Linked DNA regions of Mus musculus. The protein of the gene in region 1 purifies or fractionates together with the protein of each later gene. This does not show direct contact. Links are inferred from orthologs where the notes say so. Each region holds a gene or a part of one and is shown in the gene's direction. Other genes may lie near its edges.

Evidence for each region. The genes of interacting proteins can lie anywhere in the genome.
Region 2: the proteins of Crkl (region 1) and Rapgef1 purify together in Homo sapiens (affinity purification with western blotting; 16 studies listed by BioGRID and IntAct, with this or other methods). This does not show direct contact. The link is inferred for Mus musculus from reciprocal best matches to the Homo sapiens genes CRKL and RAPGEF1.
Region 3: the proteins of Crkl (region 1) and Nedd9 purify together in Homo sapiens (affinity purification with western blotting; 4 studies listed by BioGRID). This does not show direct contact. The link is inferred for Mus musculus from reciprocal best matches to the Homo sapiens genes CRKL and NEDD9.

Annotation. Positions count from the first base shown.
Region 1 is NC_000082.6:17,482,939-17,485,494, forward strand, and holds part of Crkl (crk-like protein), read left to right. Parts: intron 1-722; coding exon 723-857; 3' UTR 858-2,556. UniProt on the Homo sapiens protein: May mediate the transduction of intracellular signals.
Region 2 is NC_000068.7:29,737,786-29,740,935, forward strand, and holds the end of Rapgef1 (rap guanine nucleotide exchange factor 1), read left to right. Parts: intron 1-134; coding exon 135-285; 3' UTR 286-2,578; downstream 2,579-3,150. UniProt on the Homo sapiens protein: Guanine nucleotide-releasing protein that binds to SH3 domain of CRK and GRB2/ASH. Transduces signals from CRK to activate RAS. Involved in cell branching and adhesion mediated by BCAR1-CRK-RAPGEF1 signaling and activation of RAP1.
Region 3 is NC_000079.6:41,311,637-41,314,007, reverse strand, and holds part of Nedd9 (enhancer of filamentation 1), read left to right. Parts: intron 1-1,837; coding exon 1,838-2,347; 3' UTR 2,348-2,371. UniProt on the Homo sapiens protein: Scaffolding protein which plays a central coordinating role for tyrosine-kinase-based signaling related to cell adhesion. As a focal adhesion protein, plays a role in embryonic fibroblast migration.

The DNA of each region.
Region 1 (2,556 bases):
TTTTCATGCATTCTGGAGATGAAATTCAAACCCTTACATTGTCATGGCAAGCACTTCAACGCCTTCTCCCACGGAACTTCTCACCAGCTCTAGATTGTTTTTGTTTGCTGTAGTGGTCTTTTAGTATGAAATGCTTTAACACATTTGTGCAGGGGTCATGCTAATTATCTCTGTATCATTTCAGTTTTACATAAATATACTGTCAGAGCAAGATGGTTTTATTAAGTCCGTGCTGGTCTCAAACTGAAGGTCCTCTTAGCCTCCTGTGTGTTGTCTGTGGGGATTATAAGCACCACACCTGGCTACTTCCCACTTTCCTCCCAAGACAGGGTTGCTCTGTGTAAGCCATTGGCTGTCCTGGAACTCGCTCTGTCCATGAGGCTGACTCAGAGATCTGCCTGCCTCTGCCTCCCAAAGACTGGGATTGAAGGTATGTGCCACCAGTCCGCACTTCTTACCCTTTTATTCAGCTTAACATGCACGTTCTTAGAGTTGGATGCTCATACATGTCCATTTATTAGTAACGCTGGAGGGAGTGGCTGCTCTGTGTTCAGAGGCTGCTTCCTGAGTTTTTGCCAGCGACAGGTATCCTGGGTGGTTGGTGGCATCTCGTGTCTTTGTACTACTTGATTTTTGTATAGACAGTGTTTGTGATTTAATGTAAACTGTCTTCCTTGTTTGTAGTGATGCTAATTTTGTTTTCTTTCCCTCTTCCCTTACAGGTTGGTGACATTGTGAAAGTCACAAGGATGAATATCAATGGCCAATGGGAAGGCGAGGTGAATGGGCGCAAGGGGCTTTTCCCCTTCACACATGTTAAAATCTTTGACCCTCAGAACCCCGATGACAACGAGTGATTGCTGTGCTGTCCCTGCTGCTGCCTCCTTCTGCCTGTCAGTCTCCTTTGAAGTGGGAAGCACTCTGTCACATGCAAGTTACACCGAGCTGCTGGCGGTCAGCTTTCCATACATTGGCAGTCCCTGCACATACGGAATGCCTCAGCAGCTGCCTTGCTCGCTGGCTCGGCATTTGTATCATAGTCATGCTGTCAAAGAGTAGCTGATTTAGAGTTCTTGTGGATTGTGAACTGGAAACACTGGTGGAAGCACACAGTAGAGACTGGAACCCAGAGCAGCTCTTCCTTCCCATCCATCACTGCCTTGTTTGTACTGGAGGCTGACAGAGAGAGCAAGCAAGCCTGCTGATGGTCTGCATGGAGACGGTGAGGCTTGGCAAGGTCTCGCTTTGCTGGTCCACAGAACAGTGGTTTTGCCACCAACTCAGTTTTCTTTGGACGACAGAGGAAGTAAAACTCCAGACAATTCTGTCCCGAACTCCTCAAGTCTGGCTGGTTTTCATTTTCTTTTGTTTAGTTTTGTTTTTTGGAAGACTAATTAATTATAGTTGTGTGTTCTGAACAGATTTTTAAATAGTAGGTTGGTCTATGATGGTCTAAGGAACAATCCATGTCTCTGAGCTTCCAAACTGAAGCCACTGTACGTAACTAAAATAGGAAAAGACCCCCTCCAGGGGCCTTTATCTTTTGGTTGCCACAGTACCTTGTTTACCATGTGGCAAACAGTGCACAGCAGCAGTCATGGTGTACCTTGCTGTGAAGCACCAAGGTGGGGGTGGGCCTGCTGTCATCGCTGCCTCTGACAGGAGCAGACAGGGTGGGCCTCTTCAGTGAAAACGTTTGAAGTCTGTGGGCTTACTAGATCCGTGAGTTAAATTGCATTGCTGTGTTCCACCACAGAGGCCACCCAGCCCTTCCTGTACTGACCTAGCTTGTCCAGGCAGCTTGAGAGTGGTGTCTGTTCTGGTTCCACAGCCTGAGTAGAACCAGAATACAGTGCTTCTGAGCAAAAGAAGACGCCCCTCGATCATGAGCCATTTTTCCTTGCATGTCAGCTACTACAGATATGTGTCTGATCCCTCATCCACACATGGCAAACCAGAGCTCTAGAACCTTTCTAGAGTGCACTCTTTTCAGTTGGACCCTGATGAGGATACACCTCCACACAGAACGAACGTAGCAGACCTAGAGATGGAGTAGTGGCTAGTGAGCAGCTCTAGCATTTACAGAATATCTTCTGTAACCATGGCCCTGGTTCTGCAGGCCTGAGGCTTTGAGAACTAATGGAACATATTCAGGTGACAAAACCAACAAAACCCTTTGTCCACTATATTTATTTCTCTTAAAGACTTTAAATTTTTGTTTATGTTGGGCATGGTGGACACACCTTTAATCCCAGTACTCAGAAAGGCAAAGGCAAGTGGATCTCTGAGAGTTCAAGGCTATCCTGATCTATGTAGTGTGTCACAGGACAGGCAGGCCTACATACATACCTTGTATCAGAAGATGGCCCAATCCCCCCCTCAGACCTCCCCCCAAAAAAAACTGTATATGGGTGTTTCCACTACATGTATGTATGTGTATCACATGGGTAGTTTGTTAGGAGGCCAGAAAAGGGTGTTGGTTGGATCCTCTGGAACTGTGGAGTTACTCTGTGGGTTCTAGGAATTGAACCTGGGTCCTCTGCAAGAAGACCTTAA
Region 2 (3,150 bases), on another chromosome or scaffold:
TTCTGGTACTGAGCGCTTTGGGCTAGGTAGCAGTGACCCTACCAGGCAGATGGCTGTGAGGAGCCACCCTGTGAGAGGTTCTGGCCTGGCTACTCAGCTAGTCCTGGGCTCTCTGACTGCCCCTCTCCCACCAGGCACTATGAAATCCGGAGAAACGACGACATCATAAATTTCTTCAATGACTTCAGTGACCACCTGGCCGAGGAAGCCCTGTGGGAACTCTCTCTGAAGATCAAGCCTAGGAACATAACAAGGCGGAAAACAGACCGCGAAGAGAAGACCTAGGAGCAGGCTGGCTGTGAGAACGCTCAAGCAGCCAGGAGAGGACCTGGACCATCCCAGCCTCAGCCTGTCCATGCCTGGCTGTGTGGCAGCACCTGAGTCTCCTGGCCGGTCTCCTGCCTCCTTCCCTATGGCTAAAGTCCCAGGGTTCACAATGAGCTGGCTGGCAGGCCTCAGGGCTGGCTTGTGTACTGGTGGCCCCTGGTCTGGTTTTGTTTTCTGTTTTCTGTCAGTGCTCCCTCCTGTTCCCTCCTCTCCCCTGCAGCTGGAGAGCAGCAGACACCTGAGCAGCAGACCAGGGGAATGGCGGGCTTCACTGTCCCCAGGCCACCCTAGCCTCCTTAAGTGGCAGATAAGTAGGGGCCCCAGGACCCTTGGGTAGACTGCCCTCCGGGACCCTGGAGCCAGGGGAGCTATGGCTGGGAGACAGAAGAAGGTAGAAAGGGACCACGCAGGCATCTTGTGCTGCCCACTTCCTGCTTTTTAAACATGGAGGGAGAGGCATGTCAACCTGGCCCAGAAAGTATGGTGGGTGGTAGGCAAGAGCCACAGAGCTGACACTTCTCACAGCAGTGGCCCCAGCTCTGTCCTGCCATGCACGGCCACTAACCAAGGCACCTGCTGGGCTGACAGCAGCAGCACCAGTAGCACCTGTCGCCCACCACTGGTCCAGCCCCAGCCCCAGCCCCAGCCCCAGCCCACATCACCGGTACTCTGGGGATCGGGAAGAGGAGGCAGAAGGGACAGTTCATGCTGAGCTGGGGCCAAGACTGTGCTTCAGAGAGTGAATAAGGATCTTCAGTGACCTAGGGAGAGGCAAGCAGCCCCTCCGTGCTTGCTGTGTGCCTTAAATGCCATCTCCTGTTCCTTCCAGGCCTGTGGGCTTCCCTCCTATTTTGCCCCACCCCCCGCAGCCAGCAGGTTCCTAGTCCCCGTTTGCTCTCTGGGAGTGTCTGTTCCCAAGAAGTCTAAGCAGGCCTAGGACGTGAGGGCCTCCAGAGGTTTCCTGATTCCAGACAGGTGGCAGAGCCACCCCCTGCTGCTGAGGTTGACAATCTGTTCAGGGCTCAGGGCTAGGATCTCCCTGGGCATGGCCCTGTGGCCACCACTGTGGGCTAAATGGCAGGGTGCAGTTCAGAATCCAGAGGTGCTGCTGGCCCTGCACCATACCTCCAATTAGCTTTGCATGGACAAGCTCCCTTTTCTTCTGGTCGTGGGGCTTGGTCAAACGAATACCAGGATCTCTGCTTCCTCAACCAGTCCGCAGAGCAGAAGAAAAGACAGCAGCAGCTGCTGGCCGGGTACTCGTTTGAAACAACTGTCACTCTGAACCCTCCTGGGTTTCGGGGTTTGTTTTTTTAGCAGCTTTTATCAAATAAGAACTGTGGGCCCCTCTTCTGTTTATTTGTGCTGTAAATAGAGAGGGGACATCTGTAAACAGCCCCTTGGTCAGCTCCCTCTGGTGGCAGCCGGAATTGGATTGTTTAAGGAGTGTGTGTGTGGAGTCCGGCTTGTGAGCAGTCATGTGGGTCTTTGGTTTGTTCCTCTTTTACAGGTCCTTTCATTTCAGTCTTTGCCCCTGCTTCCTGTCCTTCACCAGCTCTAAGTGCTGCTGTGTGCAAGTGGGGAACACTGCACATGAGGTCCTTCCTCCCAGCGCTGTAGAGGCCCCTGCAGCCTCCCTGTGTAGCACAGGCCTACCTGAGGCCTAGCCTACTGGTGCTGCAGCCAACAGAGTGGGTCTATGGTCTATGTCTACTGGTTCCCAAGCATGAGCTGGGCAGAAAGGAGGGCTTACCTTCTAGACCCAGAATCACCAGGCCCTCCTATGATCCTGGGAGCCTTAGGCAGACTAAGTCAAGAGCCAGGACAGCTCTGGAGTTTCCGTGTGGGGATATCGAGGTGCGATGTGTGGGTTTAACTTATTAGCCAGCAGGCTTCCCCAGTCACCTGCCTCTGGCTGCGACTGAGCCCAGTGTTCAGGCAGCCTGGCTTCCACATGTCTGTTTCTTAGTGGTGGGGTCTGGGAGAGCTGTGAAGATTCGTCTTTGTATACATACTAAGCAACATGGACAGTTGGGTTCCCAGCAGAGGCCAGCCATTACCTGTGGGTAAGGCAAGCAAACACCGGATCTGGCTGGCCCTTAAGCCGAGACACCTGTTCCATGCCTCCCAGTGTGGCACTGTAATATAAACCCCCCACTAACCTGTCTGACAGTGCATCTTCCTACAGACAGAACAAGCGCGCAACTTTTATATGAAAGAAAAATAAACAGACAAAAGCCCATCTGATGCCATGTCTGTGTCCAGGCCTTCTGTATCTGCATCGGGCCAGTCCCTGCTGTTTGTGACCTAGGTGGAGGGGAGGGGTACGGTGGGGCCTGAGGGCTCTGGTAGGCATTGGGAACCCATGTGCAGGAGAGAGCTGACTCCTGCAAATGGTATGCTGATGGCCACACACAGATTCACACAGGAAGGATAGAAATAAATGCACAAGCACCATCCACACCCAGGAGTCATGCCACCCCACCCTGTGAGAGTGGCTTTAAAACTCTGCCTTCACTGTGCTCCTGAGGGTCATTCATTCCTCTGTCTTTCCGAATACAAGTGCTGAGGAAGACCAAGTGATTTTCAGACCCATGGATGTCCTCAGACCCTGGGAATGAAGTACCACACCCAGGAGGTCACAGCCAGCACCTGACTCTACAGAGCTGGAGTCAGGCTGGAGGGATGGCTCAGCGGTTAAGAACACTGGCTGCTCTTGCAGAAGACCTGGGTTCAATTCTCAGCACCTACAATTTCTAACTCCAGTTACAAATCTGATGCCCTCTTCTGCTGGGGACATATACCTTCCTTGTCTCAAAAAAA
Region 3 (2,371 bases), on another chromosome or scaffold:
AGGACTGTATTCTTGATGTTCTCTTCCAGTATCTGCCTTCTTCTCTACTCTCCAACATTTTCTCCAATCACTTCACTCGGTTCACATATAACTTTGACTCATAAATGGCCACTCAAAGCCCTTCCTATAGGGCTTTGTGGTATTCTGTAATGCTTTGAGATAAGTTTTCACAATGCAGTCCAGGCTGGTTTCAAAGTTGGTATTCTCCTGCCTCAACCTTTTGACTATTGGCCTTGCAGGTGTGTGCATTGAGCCCAACTTCAAAACCTCTGTAGATGTCACTTCATCTAGGATTCCTTAGATAATGGTCAACTCCCTTTTGTGCTTATCAAACTCCTAAGAGAGTTTGAGTCTAACTCTCCCCTAGACCCCACCCCTCTCCCTGTCTTTTGTATGGTCCAGTCTAAGGGTCAGAGGGAAGGAGCCAATGTCTATCAGACATATATAAGTCCATTTACCAAGAGTTCTGAGCAGGGGGTGTTCACTCAAAGGTTTAGTTTGTATAGCAGGTAAGGCTAGGTATTGTGAAGCCAAGGATACGAAAACAAAGAGAAATGGACTAAAGATTTATATGCACTTTAAGATGAAATGAAATGGCATATCACAACATGAAGTGACAAGATGTCTCTAGCAAATCAGAGTTTTCCAGCCAACAGCTGTGTAGACTTGAACATCACTGTAATGGGCCAGTTCCCTCTCGATAAAATGGAAAAGTACTACCCTCTACAGACACATGATTTGAAATCAAATTCATAATTATCAAATAATATTAAGACACCACCCTGTATCTGCTATGCTTATATTGGCAGTCGGCCCAATAGGACAGCAGAGTTTGGGAAAGCTAGCGGACACTAAGGTAATTCCTAGGAAGCAAGTAGTTTCCATGGAATAGAAAATCGACTATGCACTTCTTAGCAAGGAAGCAAGATGAGGGTGTCCCTGAGCTGACTCGGCTCTGAGTCAGGATGAAAGATTAACTGACTCCCAAAATCAGTATTCTTAGTAACATAGCTAGAAATTATCATTTCTATTCGAAAGAACAGTCCAGTTAGGGATGCTAATGATAGCATCAAGAAATCTGGTCCTAGGACTGTTGAGATGGTTCTGTGTAAGGGCACTTATTGCCACCCTGATGACCGGAGTTGGAGTCTTAGAAACCACACAGGAGAAGAGAACCAGCACCCATGAAGAGTCCTCTGACCTACACATGCATGCTATAAAATACGGCAAATTAGAAATGCTGAGATTTCTTTGTTGTGTCATTTTCCCTACGCCATTTCTAAGAGTTCTCGGCAGTAACAGACCACAATGTGTCCATCTTAACAGTGCAAATAGGAGAGAGAATCTTCATGAACTTTCCATCTTGAAGAAAGGCCTTACCCAGGAAGTAACAAACAGAAAGGTCACTACATCTGCTTTTCCCTTGCTGCCTCCCAACATTATTTTAAAAAAAATTAAATAGAGCCTACAACTCACCAAACACCGGTACAAACACTTTGCGAATAATAATGATAATATTCACTTTGTGAATAATAGTATTTTATTGAGCCCTCATAATGGCCTTAGAAGGTAAGGCTGTTGCCTTCCAGTTAGAGTGCAAAAAAAGACAAATGGTGTCATAACAGAAGATCTATGCTGGAGGATCCCCTAGGGATCCTCTTCCCAGTGTCCACGTTGCACAATTTAGGAAGCAAGGCATCCTGGATAAGGTCTCACAGCTCCTAGGTACCTGGCATCTACTAAAGATGAAGCTGATATCTTTTGACCCCACACCCATATTTCTTTCCCTTTACAATGTATGCCTTGCCCTTAATGAAACCTGTTCTCTTCCTTTTAGCTGAGTCAGTTCCAGCTGTTGGAACAAGAGATCACCAAGCCTGTGGAGAATGACATCTCTAAATGGAAGCCCTCTCAGAGCCTCCCAACCACCAACAACAGTGTGGGTGCTCAGGATAGGCAGTTGCTTTGCTTCTACTATGACCAGTGCGAGACCCATTTCATTTCCCTACTCAACGCCATCGACGCCCTCTTCAGCTGCGTCAGCTCAGCCCAACCCCCACGGATCTTTGTGGCGCACAGCAAGTTTGTCATTCTTAGTGCGCACAAACTGGTGTTCATTGGAGACACTCTGACAAGGCAGGTGGCTGCCCAGGACATTCGCAACAAAGTCAGGAACTCCAGCAACCAGCTCTGCGAACAGCTCAAGACGATAGTGATGGCGACCAAAATGGCCGCCCTCCACTACCCCAGTACCACCGCCTTGCAGGAAATGGTGCACCAGGTGACAGACCTGTCCAGAAATGCTCAGCTGTTTAAGCGTTCCTTGCTGGAGATGGCCACCTTTTGAGAAGACAAAGAAGTGGAAGGAACT